4 linked regions of the Macaca mulatta genome follow. The protein of the gene in region 4 purifies or fractionates together with the protein of the main gene of each other region. This does not show direct contact. Links are inferred from orthologs where the notes say so. Each region holds a gene or a part of one and is shown on either strand. Other genes may lie near its edges.

Region 1 (4,764 bases), on a different chromosome or scaffold from region 4:
GTGCAGGCTGCGCTTGGCCAAGCCCAGGATGGATATCTGCAGCATGGCGTCCAGGAAGCTCACCCAGTTGTCCTTCCACAGCAGCCTCCCCGACTCACCTGCACACAGGGCCTGGTTGGTGCTGTGGAGCTCCCAGGTCCCTGGGCCACCTCCCAGAGCCTGCCGGGCCCCTCGGCTCCCTCTGAGGCTGCATGCCCAGCCGTGGGTGCCCTCTGTGGCCCCCACAATGGCGACCGCCCTCCCCGGTGGCTTGGGCAGCAGCGCGGTCAGTACCCACCTTCCAGGCTGGCCTCCAGGATGCCATGGAAGTGAGGGCCATAGTCGTAGCCACGCAGACGCAGCTCCTTGTAAACCTCAGCCTGGGTCAGGAAAAGGGGCTCCTCGGGGTTGGGGGTGGGGCTTTCCGGGTGGTTGAAGAGCCTGGGGTCAGGGTCCTCCCACTGGTACACCTTCCCTGCAGGCAGGCAGGTGTGGAAGAACCTGAAGACGGGTGGCATGGCCAGCGGGCACAGCCCCCGCAGCTCCCACGCCACCAGCCCTGCTTACCACTCACTATCAGGTTGCCGTTCTGTGACACCTCGAAGGCGCGGGAGGCCTCCAGGAGCCGTACCTCCAGGGACACGGTCCCTGCAGAGCAGGAGAGTCAGAGATCAGAGGGCAGCACCTGCCCCCAGCTGCCCCCGCCTTGGTCCTGGGGTGCCCCTCACCAGTCTTGGGCAGGATGGTGGCCTGGTGCAGCACCACGTCCTCAAACACCACAGGCAGCTGCTCCACGGCCAGGCCCAGGGCCCGGGCCAGCGTCTTCCACACTATGCACAGGTAGCCAGTGGCGGGGAAGATGACGCGGCCGTCGATGGTGTGATCCACCAGGTAGTGGTCGGGAGACTCGGAGCTGGTGTCTGCAGGAGGGCACAGGCCTCAGCACTGGTGTGGGGAGGGAAGAGCTTGCCCACCCGCCGGGCCCCTGCTCACCGATGTTGTAGACGGCGGCCGAGGGGGAACCAGAGCCGTTGGGGAAGTCCTCGGCAGCTGGCACGTCCCAGGCCAGGCTGTGGTCCCACTTGATGAGTGGGGAGATGAGGGGGGTTCCTCGGGGAGCTGGGAACTCCACAGGCGGGAACAGGGCATTGGGGTTGGCGTCGATGCTGTGAAGAAGGGAGGCACAGGCGGCACATCCGTCACCGGGGTCCAGGGGCTCTGGGTTCAGCCGACCCACTCCCTGTGGTGGACCATCCAGGGCTGCCCCCACCAGCCTGGGTCAGTGAGGGTCCGGCAGCCCTGCTCACCCACCCCACGCCGTCGACTGCAGGAGATGAGGCCCGCGATGGGAAGGGACCCACCCTGAGAGGTGCAGCCTGCCGATGCCGGTGAGGAAGAACTCCAGGTTGTCCCTGTGATCCTTCTTCATCAGGGGAATGATGGTGCAGCCCGGCTTCAGGCCACGCTTCAGGACAGCCTGGGGGCGGCAGGGCGCGTGGGCTCCCTTGGTGCTCAGCCGAGGTGCCCGTCCCAGATTCCCGGCGCCCGCCGCCCCCAGGCTGGGCCTACCTGCAGCAGGGCATGGGGCGCGACCTCCAGCACCACCGCGTGCTCGGGCACGTGACACAGGGCCTCCTGGAACAGCACAGGGCTGACCAGGTTGTTGACATTGTACTCGGCGGAGGACGTGCGTGCCAGGCTGCTGTGCCACTGGGCCTCGGGGATGGAGGTGCTGAGCCAGCGGGCTGAACGTGGCTTCGGCTCCCGGATCACCTGCACGAGGGGCCAGGTCAGTGCTGGGTCACGGGCACCCCGGCCCGCCCCGCGCCCCCCGGGCCGAGTCAGCACCTTCTTGAGCGCCTGCAGCAGTGGGGGTGCGATGGCCTCCATGAAGTAGGAGTGGAAGGCCATGCCGCCGGTCCGCACCTCCTTGGCAAACACACCCTCCTTCCTCAGCTGCTCCATGAACTCGAACACAGAGGCCTGGGCATCGTGGGAGCCTGGATGAGCATCCTGGCCAGGCACCCACCTCAGGCTCAGGGAGGTAGAGAGAACCAAGAGGGAATGCGCAAGGGACCTGGGGACAAGCCTGCCCCATCCCCAGGCCCGTCAGAGCCTCACAGGGCATAGACCGTGGCCGCATGTCCCTGCCAGACTTGCAATGGCAGGCGCAGGGGACAGAGGAGCCAGCCTGGGCCGCAGCACCCACCTGAGGTCCCGAGATGGTGACTGTGTCCTTGGAGTTGTGGCAGGCGGGCACCACGCCCGGGGGGCAGCGCTGTTTACACTCCTCCCAGGACAAGCCTATGGCAGAGCCAGCCTCAGAGGCTTAGCGTGGGGACTGAGCCGCTCCCAGCCACCCACCTACCCAGGACACCGCCTGCAGCTGGGGGCAGTAATGATAGGCGTAGTAATGGCAGCCTTGGAGCCTTCATGAGAAACGTTCGCCCCCTGCTGTGTTTGACCCGTGGGTGGAGGCGTCATTACAGAGCTGCCAGGGGCAGCTCCTGGGAGCCCAGTCCCAGATGGTGGCCCCTCAGTCCTCTGCAGTCCCAGTTCTTTCCAAGCCCTGCCCACATGTGGCCCACAGGGCTGAGATGGGTGTCAACCAGTCTGAGGGAACCCTGGCGACCTGTGTGTTGGCTTCACTAAAGCCCCTGGGTTCTTACTATGCCGGGGCTGTGTCCCAGGGGGCTCCATGCAGGCCTGATGCCCATGGGCACGTGCCTAGGCCCAAGGCTGCCAGGTGTGGGAGCAGTGGGGCAGCTGCACGGGGACTTGCGCACGGCTGTGTCTGAGCTGGGTGTCCCTGGGCCAGCGGGGGCCACTCTATCCTACAGGGGCCAGGCCAGGGCTGCAGGTGAGGACCCCACAGCGAGAAGGCAGCCTCCTTTCTTGGAGGTGCTGGGGGCCCCTCTGGGAGACCTCGGGGACACCTACCCACGGCTGCCATGGCGCCCGGTGGGAGATGGGCTTCTTTGATGCATTGCCCCCTCCAGTAGGCAGCGAGGACGGCCTCCTCCTGGGACAGGCAGCCGTCAGCATAGCCACAGGCCACCTCCCCCAGAGAGTGGCCGATGATGCCGTCTGGTCTCAGCCCCATGCAGCTCAGCAGGTCTATCAGGCCTATCTGGGGTAGAAACAGGACACTCAGCTCGCAACCTCCAGCAGGTGCAGCTGTTGGGGGCGGCCCCCCGGCCCCACTGGGCCATCTCCACCCCGGCCGCATCGACCCTCCCAGGTCTCCTGGCAGGAGAAGCCCCTGTGGCCCCAGCACCCAGGCCCCACTGAGACCCCTCCCCTCCCTGCTCCCGTCCTACCCCCAGCACAAGGCTCTGCCCGGCAAAGAGGCTGTCAGGGTCCTGACTAGAGACTGCAGCTCCTGGGCTCCAGGGAAAGCCAGAGCCCTGCGCTGGCATTGCACACACACGGGCAAGCTGGGTCCTACCTGGATGGCAGTCAGGCTCACGAAAGCGTGGACGATGTCGTCAAAGGTGCTCTCGTCCATGCTCAGAAGCAGCTGCGACACCTTCAGGCCGAACGGCTTCACAGCCTCGTCGGAGCGCAGGATAGAGTCTCGGAAGCGGTCCAGGCGCATGAGGCTCAGCCCCATCCCGCGCCACTGCGTGCCCATCCCTGTCCCAGAGAGTATGTCACGAGGCTTAGCGCCATCCCGCGCCACTGCGTGCCCATCCCTGTCCCAGAGAGTATGTCACGAGGCTTAGCGCCATCCCGTGCCACTGGGTGCCCATCCCTGTCCCAGAGAGCACCTCAGGAGACCACCGGCTCCAGCTCGCCTGCCCTCTCCCCAGAGAAGGGACCACCTTGGGGACAGAGTGTGGGCTCACCAGAGCAGATGAACCAGAGTGGGCGCTCGCCAGCGGGCACCTGCTGCACCTCTGGGCCACTGTGCTCGCCACCCAGCACGGCATAGCCGCGGAAGGGCATGGCCGTGGTGGGGATGGCCGCGATGTCATTCAGCATGCTCAGGAAAGCCAGCTCCTGGCTGTGCTGGAGGCCCTGCTCCAGCAGCTCCTGCACGGCCTCAGGGGTGCGTCCACTAGCCCGCAGCAGACGGGGCAGGCTGGCGTGTGGGGCGGGTGCCGGGGGCGGCTGCGTGTGGGGCCTCAGGATGACGTGCACGTTGGAACCCCCAAAGCCAAAGGAGTTGATGCCCACGTTGCCACCACGGACGGGCAGAGGCTGGGCCACCACTTGCAGCCGCCCATCCAACAGTGCTGGGATCTCAGGGTGGGGGCTGTGGAAGTGCAGGTTGGGGGCCCAGAGCCCGTGCTCCAGGGACAGCAGCACCTGTGGGGGTACATGGTGGGTGGGCAGCCGCCCCACTCCCTGCACTGCTGCCTGAGCTGGGGGCAGGCGCCGCCCCGGGACGCTCACGTGGGGCCAGGGTTCCAGGGCCCTCTCCGACACACTTCCTGTCCCCAACCTAATCCTGCCATGGCACAGGGGTCTGATGACTGAGCCGCCGTGGCCCTGCCCTCAGCTTGGTCCAAGACCTCCCCTTCGGGCCTTGCTGCCTCCCAGCCTGATGTGGACCCTCCAAAGCCTGGCTGTGGCCTGAACACTAAGGCCCCCTTGGTCCAGATGTTGCATCTCAGAGGCTGCAGAAGGCCCGAGTGACTGTGGGTGTCGGGGCTCCTGTGCCTGGTCTCTGAAGAGCCGCAGGCCTCTGTTAGTGGGTCGGGAAGCTGTAGACACGGGTGGGCAACACGGGAAACCCTGATGCTGCAGCTGACCTCCCCCAGGCCTGCTTCTGTCTCGCTC
Region 2 (5,396 bases), on a different chromosome or scaffold from region 4:
CTGGGCAACACAGTGAGACCCCACGTCTACCAAAAATACAAAAATTAGCTGGGTGTGGTGGCGCACGTGCCTGTAGTCCCCACTACTTGGGAAACTGAGATGGGGCGCTCGCTTGAGCCCAGGAGTTTGAGGCTGCAGTGAGGTATAATCGGGCCATCGCACTCCTGCACTCCAGCCTCAGGGACAGAGGGAGACCCTGTGTCAAAAACAAAAACAAAACAAAACAAAAACCGGGGGGGGGGGCCTGGCACGGTGGCTCAGGCCTGTAATCCTAGCACTTTGGGAGGCCGAGGTGGGTGGATTGCCTGAGCTCAGGAGTTCAAGACCAGCCTGGGCAACATGGTGACATGGTGAAACCCTGTCTCTACAAAATACAAAAAATTAGCTGAGTGTGGTGGCGGGCTTCTGTAATCCCAGCTACTTGGGAGGCTGACACAGGAGAATCACTTGAATCCAGGAGGCAGAGGTTGCAGTGAGCTGAGATCATGCCACCACTGCATTCCAGCCTGGGTAACAGAGCAAGACTCTCTATCCAAAAAAACAAAAACAAAAAAGGACCAGACATGTTGCATTGTTAACAAACTAGTTGTTAACCTTGTGACCTCTGTAAAGGTCTCAGGGATTTCCAGAGGTCTGGGGACCACACTTTGAGAATCACTAGATTAAAAAGGAGGAAACACGGAAGGAAAAAAAGGTCACATAATGGAAACATATTGTTGAATTGAATTTAGTGTATAAAAACTCTTTAATGAAATAAAGAGTATAGACTTCAAGTACTAAGAGAAGCTAGAAGAGGAGGGATCCCTACAGTCCCTACAGAAGACTGTAGGGATTGATCAGGTCAGGAGGCAGGGTTTTAAATGGGCCTTGAAGGGTTGGTGCAGTTTGGAAGGAAGGGATGGGAGGGAAAAGCTTGCTGAATGGTATAAATGAACAAGACCCTGATGGTGAGCTCTTGAGGATATGAAAGGCAAAAAAGCACTACGGAGGGGCTTTTGTTCCCCTGTGGCCCTGCATATATGAGGAGGTGATGAGTAATTCTACATTTTTGTCAACTTTACCGTTTAAAACTCCAAGGGAGGAAAACCCTTCAAACTGATAGGCTTGGGGCTTGGTGAAGTTGGGCTATTAGTGACAAAGATGTGAAGTTTCTTATCGAAAATACATGTATGTCCAAGAAGTTCTCTGTAGATAAAAACTAACTAGAAAAAGAGTTTGTCAGAGAGGAGAAGTAGTTTTACTAATATATTTTTGATCATTTGCAAAGCCCATGGAAGTGTGTGGCAAGACGATTGTGGTGTCTTAGGATATTCACAGAGGTCTGAAACAAGGAAAACATACTTCTGTTGAAAGCACCATTCCAACATATTGTTATTATCAGCCCCTGGACTAACGGGTAGTGAGTGGGTACTGTGTCCATCAGCTCAGCGAACCGCAATTGCCTCATTGACAGCAAGCCCAGCAAGGAATCACTTGGAATATTAATTTTCGTGGCCTTTCGCAATCACATAAAGCTTGGCTCCCTGCGCTTGCCGTAATGCGGCCTCTACCATTGCTTTCCGGCGGCGGGGGGGGATTTGGCAGCAGCGGAAGAAGGAGACCGGAGGGTGTGTTTTGGGGAAAGCCGGAGGCAGAGGAGGACGATTGTTTTACGAATCCCGTGATCGGCCCGTCCTTCTCCCCTTTCCCCCCTCCCTACCGCCCCTGTCCCGCCGGGCAGCGGTGGCGGCCTTGGACTTCGCTGTCTTTCCTCGCGGAGACAGGTGAGTGTCGGCGCGCGGGCTCCCCGGGCTTCGCTCCCCACCCCCCGCGTCTCCGGGGCCGGTGGCGGCGGCCGGCCGGGGAGGCGGCCTCGGCGCACAGTAATGGCAGCGCTGTGAACAGGGGAACGCGAGCTGACAGCCGCCGCCGCCGCCTCCGCCCACCTTCCTCGCCGGGGCTTCGTCTTTCACTCCTTCGGGCTGCCTCCCCCTCCCCTTGTCCCCTGCCCCTTGCCCTGCTTCTGCAGAAGGTAACCCCGCTGAGGGTCGGGGAGCCGGGCTGCAGGCGCCGGGAAACTTCCCTTCCCGGTTAATGGGTGGCGGGGCTGGGGCGGAGGAGAGGAGTTGGGGGCGACGAGGTGTGGGGAGAGGGATGAAACGGGGAGGCCCGGTAAGATGGTATCCCGTAAGTGACCTCGGCTCCCCAGAGCGCTGACCCCTAAGCCCTGCCACCCCCTGGACTGGATCCCGGGCCTCCCCAATCCGATCTTGGCCGCCTCTCCCGCGGCCCCATTTTCCTCCGAAGGAGGGAAGGTGAGAGTGCGTGTACTCTTCTAAATATTTACGTGCTCACACGAATACACAACTCTGTGTGTTTGTGTGTGTGTGGGGGGCATCTCATGCATCCTTACCACGAGTGTTTTCACTTTTGTTTCTGCAGACTGCAAAGATTGATAGCTTTGGGGAGGAGTATCCTACGTGCATGCTAGCTAGACCTCTTGTCTCAACACTTAGGGTCTGGTGAAATAAGATCCTCACAGGCTTTCTAGCACTTGCTTACCCTCTAGGGAGTCTGGACCATTCCCTACCATTACGTGCATGCAAATAAAACATCTGTGAATTGCAGACTGTTATTAATGTTAAGCCCACATCTTTGCCCCATGGATTAATATTAACAGTTGAAGGCCAGTACCCTGGGCGTTTAAATTTTGAAGATAAGATGCAAAATATTAACATTCGCTATAGATTGTGACTGTTCAACATAAACGTCTTTGAACTAGACCTGGCCCAAGCCTACCTTCGTAGTAAAGTATGGGAAATAATCACTTTGATCTGATTGACAACTGACTACATAATAATCGCTTAAAAACATTCAAAACACTGTTGCCTACCCTTTAGAATCTTACATCCCTTTTCAAGACAAACACATGAACATAAATTAGCTATACTTTGCTTCTTTTGCCCATATACAGTATCTGGAAGATGCGTACAAAAGAGTCACGTGAGGTAACAGAAGTACACAGTTTTTTTGTTTTGAGATGGAGTTTTGCTCTTGTCGCCCAGGCTGGAGTGCAGTGGTGCCATCTTGGCTCACTGCAACCTCCGCCTCCCGGGTTCAAGCAATTCTTCTGCCTTAGCCTTCCATGTAGCTGGAATTACTGGCATATGCTACCACGCCCGGCTAATTTTGTATTTTTAGTGGAGACGGGGGTCTCACCATGTTGGCCAGGCTGGTCTCGAACTCCTGACCTCAGGTGATCCCCCTGCTTAGGCCTCCCAAAGTGCTGGGATTACCGGCCTGAGCTACAGCACCCAGCCCACAGTGTTTTGAATTACTTGTTTTTTTCAGTTGCTGTTTATGAGTTGGGGGAACATTTCTACAATGTGCATGCACATAGCGTAGGAAAAATTCCTTTTCAATTGCCTTTTGAGTATTTGGATGTTCTCCTGCATCTGAAATACTCTCCATTCTCTATCCTTTCTGGTGGCTTTAAGTGTTCTATAATTGTGAAGATTATCCATGTCTTTTACCCTCAGCAGTTTGTCACTAGATTAAATGTTATGGACCTTCTTTAAAGTCGTTTTTGTGTTGTCTGTCAGTTGACAAATATTTATTAAGTACCTGGTTTATTTGTCAAGCAGTGCTGCAGGCATTAAAGATACAAGGGTAAACAAGACACATTACATTTTTTTTTTGAGATGGAGTCTTTCTGTCACCAGGCTGAAGTGCAGTGGCACGATCTCGGCTCACTGCAACCTCTACCTCCCAGGTTCAAGCAATTCTCCTGCCTCAGCCTCTTGAGTAGCTGGCACTACAGGTGCATGCCACCACGCCCGGCTAATTTTTGTATTTTTAGTAGAGACTGGGTTTCAACCTGTTGGCCAGGATGGTCTTGATCTCTTGAGCTCGTGATCCACCCTCCTCAGCCTCCCAGAGTGCTGGGATTACAGGCGTGAGCCACTGTGCCTGGCTGACCCATTAAATTTCTATCCTCGTGGAGTGTCAATTCTGGCTTGGGATGGAGAGACAGATGGTAAATAAGAAGTAATCTCAGAGAATAAGTGCTGTGTGGGAAATAAGGTAAGGAGTTGTGGTAGTAATTGGGGGATTACTTCAGATACTGTAACCGGAAAAGACCTTCCTGAGGTAAAGTTTGAAATTCTGAGGGAAAAGTTTTCCTGTTTTAGGGAGGAGCAAATGGAAAAACCCTGAGGTGCTATCAAACTTGGATCCAACAAACTGAAATTGGCTTAAGGTGGACCCTTATAGAGATTAAAGGTGGGTCCTAGCCAGGGGCTGGATCATGTTGGCTTTTGTTCTTATGATACATTAAAAGGCTTTTGGAACTCTTCTAAACTGGGAGTGATAAGGTCTGATTGAGAATCAGACTCAACTGGAGAAGAGGAGAGATGCAAGGAGACCAGTGATAAGAGCAGTGGCTGTGGAGGGTTAAGGTACAAGTGACAGGTTTTGAGATTTATTTTGGAGTTGAAGATACTTATTGAAATTGTCATGTTTTAGATGAGCATGCAGTGGGACAGGGGTCACTCCCGGGTTTTTGGCTTCCGCTGGAGAATGATGATGCTGTGTACTGAGATGAAGAAGGGTGGGGGGAAGCAGGCTGTTGTATGGGATGGGGTTGGGTTGGACATGTTAAGTTGGATCTCATTGTTCAAGTGGAGGTGAGAAGTAGGTGATTGGAAATAAGTGTAGAACTTAGTGAGAGGTTGAGGAGTGATTAACTCATTGAACAAGGGCTTCTCAAGCACCAGCTTTAAACCAGATGTGTGGATATAGTAGTTTAAAAATCTCTGGCTTCATGGAACTTAACTTCTAGTGAAGAGAGAAAGATGGATATGGAGAGTCCTCAGCATTTATTTATTGGTATACTAATGTGTTTAACAAAAACTATATTCACGTGACTCAAAATTTAAAATGTTAGTCTGGGCAACATGGTGAGACCACATGTCTACAAAAAATAATTTAAAAAAAATTTGCCAGGCATGGTGGCACATGCCTGTAGTACCCACTATTGGGAAACTGAGGCCAGATGCCCAGGTTGGAAGTGGCAGTGATCTATGATTGCACCACGGCACTCCAGCCTGAGTGACAGAGTGAGACCCTGTCTCTAAAACAAACAAACAGAAAACCAAAATATTCAACTGTTAATAGGGAATAGAATGAATATCTCTCTCCACTCCTTGTACCCTTGTCATCCAGCTTTCCTTGGAGCCAAACATTGTTAGCTGTTTCTTAGATATCCTTGGAAAAAATATTTGTGGACATATAAGCAAATATTGTCCCCACTTTGCAGAAATGGTAATACACTTGCTTTGACATTTGTATTTTTTAGAGTGTTAAGTAGTACTTAAGTTACGAAATAGGATGAGAACACAGAGAATGTAGAAAGAAGA
Region 3 (4,764 bases), on a different chromosome or scaffold from region 4:
CTGCCTCAGCCTCCTGAGTAGCTGGGATTACAGGTGCCCACCACCAAGCCCAGCAAATTTTTAGTGGAGATGGGGTTTCACCATGTTGGCCAGGCTGGTCTCGAACTCCTGACCTCAAGTGATCCGCCCACCTTGGCCTCCCAAAGTGGTGGGATTACAGGTGTGAGCCACTGTGCCCAGCCCTCCTTATGATTTTCTTTTTTTATTTTATTTTTTTTTTTTTGAGACGGAGTCTCGCGCTGTGTCACCCAGGCTGGAGTGCAGTGGCGCGATCTCGGCTCACTGCAAGCTCCGCCTCCCAGGTTCACGCCATTCTCCTGCCTCAGCCTCCGAGTAGCTGGGACTACAGGCACCCGCCACCACGCCCGGCTAGTTTTTTTTTTTGTATTTTTAGTAGAGACGGGGTTTCACCATGTTAGCCAGGATGGTCTCGATCTCCTGACCTCGTGATCCACCCTCCTCGGCCTCCCAAAGTGCTGGGATTACAGGCTTGAGCCACCGCGCCCGGCCATGATTTTCTTAACATTTTCTTTTCTCTAGCTTTATTTTCAAAACACAGTATATAATACATATATAACATACAAAATATGTGTTAATTAACTGTTTATGTTGTTGGTAATGCTTCCAGTTAACAGTAGGATATTAGTAGTTAAGTTTTGGGGGAGTCAAAAATAATATGCAGATTTTCAACTGTGCAGTGGGTCAGCACCTGTTCTGGTAATGTTCTGTTTCTTGATACAAGTGGGTTTGGTTTGTGAAAATTATTTGAGCTGTAGACTTAATATTATGTGCACTTTTCCCTTACATCTGTTATACTGTGCCTGTTTCTGTACATATGTTACATATGAAATGTTTATTAAAGGGGTATATTGGGTAACTCAGAATTTCTGGTGCTCCTGGCTATATATACCAAATCCCAATTCAGGATTCAACAACCCAGATCATGCCACTGAACTGCAGTACCACTGCCAAGTGTGAAATTGCAGCTTGCTCTGCTGGCCTTGTTGCCTGGGAGCTTGATCCTGCTTCTGCTACTCCACACCTGCCTCCCAACCTGTTCCATTCCTGGCTCCATTTGCAGCCCTCCTTTCAACGTGTGGGGTGGATACCTTTGTTAGGCAGAGCCTAGCACAAGTGGTCCTCCTTACTGCAAGGGAGTCTGTGAAAGCAAGTATCCAGTGTTTTCAGCTTTTATAGTGGGTGGTGATTTCTGCCAGAAATTGTAACAAGGGGACAAGGGGTATTTCAGATTTGGGACAGCCAAAAAGAGAGGAAAATCCATCTTTGAGGTGAGCATTTAGGCCAGTAGAAGAAAATAGACTTCAGGTGTTAGGAACAATAGAAGCCCAGGGTAGAGGTTGAATAGAGTATGGCATTTGAGCCCGGTGGAAACAAGTTTAACTGGATTACAGGGTGTGCTCTGGGAAAATAGTTTGAGAGAAGTTGAAGCAATAGGATGGGACAAGATTAAAGATTACTTTGAAAGTCAGGCAGAGGAATTTAAATTTCATATGGGAATTTTGGAACCAGTAAAAGTTTTTGAACAAGAAAGTGTCGTAAAAGGAAATGGTGCTTAAGGATTGTTAATCTGGCAGCACTTCTAGGGGTATCTAGGCATTGTTTGTCATAATTTAGGTATGGGGTGATAGATTGGGAGTAGAAATAAAAGGCAAAGATTGGATTTAAGAGAAGATTTGAAGGAAAAAAAATCAACAAGACTTCTTGAAGAGAAAGAAGTAGAGGCTATTTCTGAAACTGAGCTTGAGTGACTGATCCCACTCTTCATTTAGAGCTAGCGAGGCTGAGGAGGGACCCAGTTTGGGGGAAGTAGAAGAATGAACTTTAGTTTGAGAATTGCTGAGTTTGAGGTGAGAGATATTGAGTAAAAGTGGTCCCTGTGTAGTTAGAGTTGGGGACCAAGAAGTGGAAAGAATTGTACTCCCAGGTATAAAGGCTGTGAAGGGAATGGAACAGAGTGTGCCAGAACCCTCGGGGTGTTTCTGAGCTCTTGTTTACAGGCCACCAGGTATACTATCTTGAATTTGATTTCAAGTGATACATTTGAACCACAACCTCTACCTTCTGTTTCATAAAACGTCAGTTCTCACACCCCAAGACACATTGATGCTATCCCTATTATACATGGTCTTCTTCCTGTTATTCTAATATCTTTGGAAAGAAAACGATTAATACATTTGAGGCTTTTCTTGGTTATTTTCAATACTTTTGAATGCTTTGAATACAAGGAGAATAATATACTAAAGCTAGAGACCTTAAACAAGACCAAGAAAGACTGAATATAAAAAGCAAACCTCCAGTTCATTAAAATTGTAAGTTGGAGCTCTTGGCTCCACGGCAGGGAGCCTTGGATCAGTAAGTGTGACAGCTCCCTTCCGTATTGTACTTAGAAAAGAATGATCATAAAACCTACTTAGGCCTCACAAGGTCTTTTTGAGCCTTAGCCAATGCATTTAGTCACTGTCAGTAACCACAAGCTTTAGTATAATATTCTGGCTTGCAAAGCAGCCAGGTCTCCAGAGCATGACGATAGGCTCTTGTATACGACTTGAATGCTGTTGCCGAGGCATACCTTCTTGATATTCATCTTAGCACTTTTCTCGAGTCTATAGCATGTCCGTACCTGTAGATGACAGTGGATTGCTCAGATATTATTAAAGAGTATGCAAGTATCTTAACAGGAAACAGCTTACTCTTTGGGTAATGTGTGATACAGTGAAGAAAATCCCTTAAATGGTTGCTCAATATTTATGCTGCTGGCATGTGTGCTGGAATATTTTTTCACCTCTGAATTCGTATTTTGAGTCCTTGGGCTCTTCAGTTTAATAGGTAATGTTTCTGTGTTTAAGTGTAGAAGATCAATCATGTTAGCTGAAAAGTCCCAAGGCTTTTCTGTCTCTGTAATATTTCTCTGCCTAAAGAGGTAGCAGGTTGAAAATTTAGGAAGTAACTCTGTGTCAAAAAATTCATCAGCCTTTCTAATCAATTAGATTTTAAAGTGAAACAAAGTGATAAACTTTGCATTTATAAGAATTCATGTTTTTCTTACGGATTTAACAGCCCTTTGCAACTCTGCTTCCTTGGTTACATGATACTCGGAAAGAATATCTGATCACATCAGAATAAAATCGTTTGAGAAGACATCCATGTGTCATAGGTTATGTAGCTTGCAGCAGGATTTAAAGCAACAAGATGATAGAATCTATCATTATTTTTGCAGACAATGTTTCACCAGCTGGTTTGAGAGGAGTTTTACACCCCTACCAGGCTTTCTCTTACCTCATTTACCTCAAAAATCACAAGTCCTAACAGGCAAACTGTAATAGCCTAAAACAAAACTAGTAAGGTATAAATGCATGTGGAAATGATTATTTGAAGGCAAAAGGCAAATAAATGTCACCAGTCTGAGCCATTACCTAAGCATCCTAGGTCTAGTAACCATTCTTTTGGTAAGGGATAATGCCAACTTTTTATCAATAGGATTCTGTTAAAAATACAAAGAAAAACAGTCAGCAGGATACTCTCTATATATATACACATACATATATATACATATGTATGCGTATACATATATATGTATGGGTATATATATAGTATCCTGCTGACTGCATGTATATATATGTGTGTATATATGTATGTGTATATATATAGTATCCTGCTGACTGCTGACATATATGTATGTGTATACAGAGATATACTTTTGTTTCATTTTAGAGCTGGTTGAACTTCAGTGGTGGATAGAGCTTGTTTTTAATTTATATGTATTTTTGTAGTACAATTTTAAAATCTTATTTTTTAAAATAAATCCAGGAGCTGTGCAGTCTTACGCATTGGAACTTAATTTGACAGATTCAGGAAAAGCCACTTGCCTTTATGCAAAATGGCAGATGAATTTCACAGTACGCTATGAAACTACAAATAAAACTTATGTAAGTATATATTTTAATTTTTCTTTGAGTTTTATAGTAGGAATTTAATTGACTTTTTTAATCCTTTAGATACATGTATACAAATGAAATTCCACATTGACTGACTTAATGCTTAAACTCTGGGAGTTTTTTTAAGCATATACACTCGGAAGTTATTCTGTTTAGTGTTAGAATGAATATTTCTTCTGATTCATTGGTTCTTGGGAGTTTTTGCAGGACTTGATTAAGGGCAAATGATCTGAAGATGACTATATGGTGTTCAGGTCTAACTATTTCTGTAAAGTGTTTAAAATGTACTAGCACCAAAGCTTGCCCTTTTAAAAAATAGCTTCCCTTCTGGGCGTGGTGTCTCATGCCTGTGATCCCAGCATTTTGGAAGGCCAAAGCAGGAGGATTGCTTGAGCCCAGCCTTGGCAACATAGTGAGACCTCATCTCTACCTAGAAAAAAATTTAAAAATTAGCCAGGCATGGTGGCATATACATGTAGCTCCAGCCACTTGCCAGGTCGAGGGGGGAAGATCGCTTGAGCCCAGGAAGTTGAGTCTGCAGTGAGCGATGGTTGTGCTACTGCACTCCAGCCTGGGCAACAGAGCGAGACTCTAGCTCAAAAAAAAAAAAAAATGCTTACTTAGGTTGGTACAAAAGTAATTGCCATTAAAGGAACAAACCACAATTACTTTTGCACCAACCTAAGTAAGCGATTCTTTTTGGCACAAACTGCAATTACTTTTGCACCAACCTAACACTAAAATCTCCCCCTTTTTGGTGTCTCCTCTTAATCCCTTTGCCTTCTTATTTTCTTTTTGTTAAGGTCAT
Region 4 (4,764 bases):
TTTCTTTATGTATGTGGGTAGAAGATGGAGATGCAATCAATATTTTAATGTCTTCCATACGGTCTTTTGTCACTGTTTTTAATTCATCAGTGGTGGCAGTGGTAGTGGTGGCATTAGCAGTAGGTTCTTGTATTTGAGTCTGCTGGAATACTGTAACTGTGCTTTGAGGACTTGCGCTTTCAGGGCTTGCGGAACTGCTTTCTAATGGTGACAACTGATCGAAGGAACGTAACTGGAAGTCATCATCCATTGGGATATAGGGAGCTAACATCTCCAAGTCTAAATCTGTGTCCTTTAAAACAGCAAATACATGAGTTTTTACAATGGCTACACTTTATAAATAAAAAACAAGTGAAACTCAAAGTTACTTCAGACTAAAAATTAATGAAATTTAATATAAAACAAGTTAATATACCTGAGTGGAAAATGGGTTCTTTGCTTCTGTGTCTTCAGCAAAAAGTTTTTCTACCAATTCCAACTTGAATTCATTGACCATATCACTATCCACATAAAAACAATATTCACTGGGACTATTAGGCTGTAAAAAGAAATACGTTTACTATTTCCTGAAGAAGCCTCCATATACTTTGCTAGTTGTCAGAATTTTCAAACTAGATCTCAGAAAAACCAGAAAACACACAACCAAGTCCATCGTGTTTATCAAATTTTATTTAACTAGGCTGGGCTTGGTGGCTCACGCCTGTAATCCCAGCACTTTGGGAAGCCAAGGCGGGTGGATCACGAGGTCAAGAGATTGAGACCATCCTGGCCAACATGGTGAAACCTCGTCTCTACTAAACATACAAAAATTAGCTGGGCATGGTGACATATGCCTGTAATCCCAGCAACTCAGGAGGCTGAGGCAGGAGAATCACTTGAACCTGGGAAGCGGAGGCTGCAGTGAGCCAAGATCGTGCCACTGCACTCTAGCCTGGTGACAGAGTGAGACTCCATCTCAAAAAAAAAAAAAGTGAAAATAGTGACATTTTGAAGCTTATACTGGTAACTAATTTTGCCAATATACATATTTCTGACTATGTAATATAACATCATTTACAAAATTAAGATGAAAAGAAACACCTTATTCTAAGAATAAAACCTATTTGGTAATTCACATTCCACAATGGTACCTAATTGACCAATTAACTAGATGCTACATTCACTGAAATTTATCTTTGAACTGAGAAGGCACATTCCTGTGGTGACTGAGCTACGTAAAAATCTCACAGCTATTGTCAGGAGTGGGAGTAGAAACTTAAGTTATTTTACCTGCATATACCTGAACGAATGTACATTATTACTATTTTAAGAGTTCTGGGCAAGAATTTTAACAAAAAACTATAGCTGTGTATTCTAAACAAGAAATTTTGCTTTCCTCATTCTAATGTTTTTGTTAGATTTACTTTTGTTAGATAAAAACCAAGATGAACCAAACTTTTTTTTTGTGGTGGGTAAATTAAGCAACCAGAGCATAGGATATATATTCATTCACCACAAGGCTATGAGATGTCAAATCTCCTACTCTTAGCTTGTCAGTTTTATTCAACAAATATTCAATGTAGAATTATTTACCACTTATTAAAGCTTATTTATGCCTCATTTATCAAGTTATAATGTTCGGATCTTAGTTGTCCTACTGAGTATATTTTTAGATGTACAAAGCCCTAAAATGGAATCATTCTAGATTTAGAAATAGAGCCCTGTGTGATATCTCCAGTCTTGGCCAGCCTAGCCTTTAAAGATTATTTTTATTGTGTTTATAGGACAATTAATATCAAGACAGATCCAGAATAAAAAAGACCAGTTACTAAGTATTTTATGTAACACTTGTTATTTTCATGTTATACTTATCCAAAATTTCAAAATAGTGATGGAAATTGGACTAAACTGGGCAAAGAATTTATAAAGTCCTTTCCCATTTAAACCCTGTTAAGTCTATTGCTACCAGACAGTTCTCCAACTCAAAGGGGTAATGGGCCAGGCATGGGAGCTCACGCCTGTAATCCTAGTACTTCGGGAGGCCAAGGCAGGAGGATCACTTGAGCCCAGGAGTTTAAAACCAGCCTGGGCAATATAGTGAGAACCCTGACTCCACCAAAAAAAAAAATGGTTAAAAAATCAGCCAGGCATGGTGGTACGGGCCTGTAGTCCCAGCTACTCGGGAGACTGAGGTGGGAGAATCATTTGAGCCTGGAAGGTTGAGGCTGTAGTGAGCTGTGATTGCACCACTGCACTCCAGCCTGGGTGATAGTGAGACTCTCAAAACAAAACAAAACACAATAAAACAAACTAAAAGGGGTAACAGGTATAGGCTGTGGCTACCTTGAGCACACTTAGTACTATTCTCTTTAAATGTCCAAATTCAGGATGTTTTTGTCCTACTGATACAGAGAAATAATGTACATTTCACCTTTTGGTTTATATTAAGCTAGTTTCTTCCCATGTTCCTGACTATCTTTGAGCCTAAAACATATGCTCAGGTCTAAGTTAGGCAATAGCTCTTGCAATAATTTTAAAGTGCTAAAATTCAAACACACACACAAATGTAATTTGTGGTTCAAATGAGTGTTTGAGTCAAACTTATAAATACATTCTTGAATGTTAAAATCTGAAAGTTGTCTCTTTCTGATTATATCATGACACCTACCTCAGGTGAACTTTGTCTAGTGCTTCCATCAGAAGGACTAGGTGGCTGATCCTGAATTTGGGGCATGGTAAAAGAAAGTTCCAGTGACTCTGGATTTGGTTCTAATTTTAATGCAACTTCTTGATTGAGTGCAGGGTCAGCACTACTTCGAAGTGGCTTTGGCGTTTCAGAGGTGGGTAATGGAGACATTGCCAAATTTATATTCTGTAATTTTTCGTTGGATGAGGGGAGCATTACATCATTATACAATGGTACTTCCTCAAGTTGCTGGTCATCAGTTTCTGTGTCTGTGGGGAAAAAATACGAGTCAGTCTAAAGTATACAAGGATTTTTTTTTTTAACCCAAGACAGTCTTGCTCTGTTGCCCAGGCTGGAGTACAATGGTGCAATCTTGGCTCACTGCCACCTCTGCCTCCCAGGTTCAAGCAATTCTCCTGCCTTAGCCTCCCAAGTAGTTGGGATTACAGGCGCACACCACCACGCCCAGCTAATTTTTGTATTTTTGGTAGAGACGGGGTTTCACCATGGTGGCCAGGCTGGTCTCGAACTCCTAACCTCAAGTGATCCACCCGCCTTGGCCTCCCAGAGTGCTGGGATTACAGGCGTGAGCCACTGCGCCTGGCCACAGGGATTTTAACATACAAAAAATTTGTGTTCCTTTTCACGGAAGGTTTGTCTAATTCATCAAACAACAAAATGTTAACAAATTTTCCTTCATCAGAAAGTTTACATATAATAGTATAGTATAACCATAAGTCTGGGTTATCTTTACAATCCACTATTGATACCTCCTCTTAATCTCTACGGCATAAAAGACAAAAGGCAACACCAACCTTTTTATACATTAAAATGTTCTCTACTTTAAAATTGCAGTTTTCATCTTCAATGCTTCATGTTATAGTATGACTGCCTTTTTATCCTTTAATGCAACAATGCCTACTTCCATGTAACTCTGCTAAACTGTGGAGAAAATCTGACAGCAGGATACAGAAATAGAGCAGCCAGGAAAAATTTATGTGGGAAGAAGAAATACCTTAAGGACACTTTGAAGCACAATTTCCAACAATATAAAAAAGCAAGAATGGTAAGAAATTACGAGGGCAAAAATATTTAAGCAAATACATTTAAGAAAACTATAAAAATATATTAGCTTGTAATGTCCAAATGATTACCAACAAAAAACGTCAAAGTAATGTTTAGTTGAAATGAGGCTTGTAGCAACAGACACAATTTAGGGCATTAACAAAATAACTACTCACCGTTGCTGCCAAAATCTAAAGATATGATTGTGTCTCCAGCGGCTGGGGCCAGCAAAGTTAAAGCATCAGGTTCCTTCTTAAGTTTGTCAAAGAGGCTACTTGTATCTTCTGATTCAACTTTGGTGAATAGCTGAGTCATTTTCATATCTGAAGATTCAACTGGTTTAAGGACACATTCTGTTTGTTGAAGGGAGAAAATCAAGTCGTGCTGAATAATACCACTGTCAAAACAAGAGAAATTAGTAATTCACAAATGAGCACTTGACACAGTGAGGGGAAGGGGGACTGTCAAAAAGTCTTAAAAAATTCTGCTTTATGGACAGGAACATTTTAGGATTTCTTGAGATGCATGATCACTCACGTGTACTTTGTCACATTTAGGGTTTTAAAATGCTATTACAAAATAAAGACCCAATACAATGCACAGTATGCAGCCATAAAAAAGAATGAAATCATGTTCTTTGCAGCAACATGGATGCATCCAGAGACCATTATCCTAAGTGAGATAACCCAGACACAGAAAACCAAATGCTGCATGCTGTCACTTGTAAGTGGGAGCTAAACATTGGGTTACTTGTGGACATAAAGATGGCATCAACAGACACTGAGGACTACTAGGAGAGAGGGGCAAGGGTTGAACAACTGTTGGGTATTATGCTCACTATCTGGGTGACAGGATCAATTGTACCCCAAACCTCAGCATCACATGATATACCCATGTAACAAACCTATGTATGTATCCCCTGAATCAAATATAAAAGTTGAAATTAAAAAAAAAATTCCCAGTACAAGATAATTTGACTAATTTCAGTTAAGAATTTCAGATATCTAGGCTGGGCACAGTGGCTCATGCCTGTA

Evidence for each region.
Region 1: the proteins of HIF1A (region 4) and FASN purify together in Homo sapiens (affinity purification with western blotting; 3 studies listed by BioGRID and IntAct, with this or other methods). This does not show direct contact. The link is inferred for Macaca mulatta from reciprocal best matches to the Homo sapiens genes HIF1A and FASN.
Region 2: the proteins of HIF1A (region 4) and CUL2 purify together in Homo sapiens (affinity purification with western blotting; 7 studies listed by BioGRID and IntAct, with this or other methods). This does not show direct contact. The link is inferred for Macaca mulatta from reciprocal best matches to the Homo sapiens genes HIF1A and CUL2.
Region 3: the proteins of HIF1A (region 4) and LAMP2 purify together in Homo sapiens (affinity purification with western blotting; 3 studies listed by BioGRID). This does not show direct contact. The link is inferred for Macaca mulatta from reciprocal best matches to the Homo sapiens genes HIF1A and LAMP2.

The regions. Positions count from the first base shown.
Region 1 is NC_133421.1:91,792,613-91,797,376, forward strand, and holds part of FASN (fatty acid synthase), read right to left. Parts: intron 4,291-4,764; coding exon 3,828-4,290; intron 3,616-3,827; coding exon 3,428-3,615; intron 3,110-3,427; coding exon 2,920-3,109; intron 2,284-2,919; coding exon 2,189-2,283; intron 1,963-2,188; coding exon 1,828-1,962; intron 1,753-1,827; coding exon 1,549-1,752; intron 1,457-1,548; coding exon 1,341-1,456; intron 1,146-1,340; coding exon 973-1,145; intron 900-972; coding exon 708-899; intron 628-707; coding exon 547-627; intron 455-546; coding exon 278-454; intron 99-277; coding exon 1-98. UniProt on the Homo sapiens protein: Fatty acid synthetase is a multifunctional enzyme that catalyzes the de novo biosynthesis of long-chain saturated fatty acids starting from acetyl-CoA and malonyl-CoA in the presence of NADPH.
Region 2 is NC_133414.1:36,494,193-36,499,588, reverse strand, and holds the start of CUL2 (cullin-2), read left to right. Parts: upstream 1-1,893; 5' UTR 1,894-2,011; exon of another isoform or gene 2,012-2,294; intron 2,295-4,169; exon of another isoform or gene 4,170-4,260; intron 4,261-5,396.
Region 3 is NC_133426.1:126,855,568-126,860,331, reverse strand, and holds part of LAMP2 (lysosome-associated membrane glycoprotein 2 precursor), read left to right. Parts: intron 1-3,828; coding exon 3,829-3,947; intron 3,948-4,764. UniProt on the Homo sapiens protein: Lysosomal membrane glycoprotein which plays an important role in lysosome biogenesis, lysosomal pH regulation and autophagy.
Region 4 is NC_133412.1:134,847,180-134,851,943, reverse strand, and holds part of HIF1A (hypoxia-inducible factor 1-alpha), read right to left. Parts: intron 4,128-4,764; coding exon 3,907-4,127; intron 2,935-3,906; coding exon 2,648-2,934; intron 539-2,647; coding exon 416-538; intron 293-415; coding exon 1-292.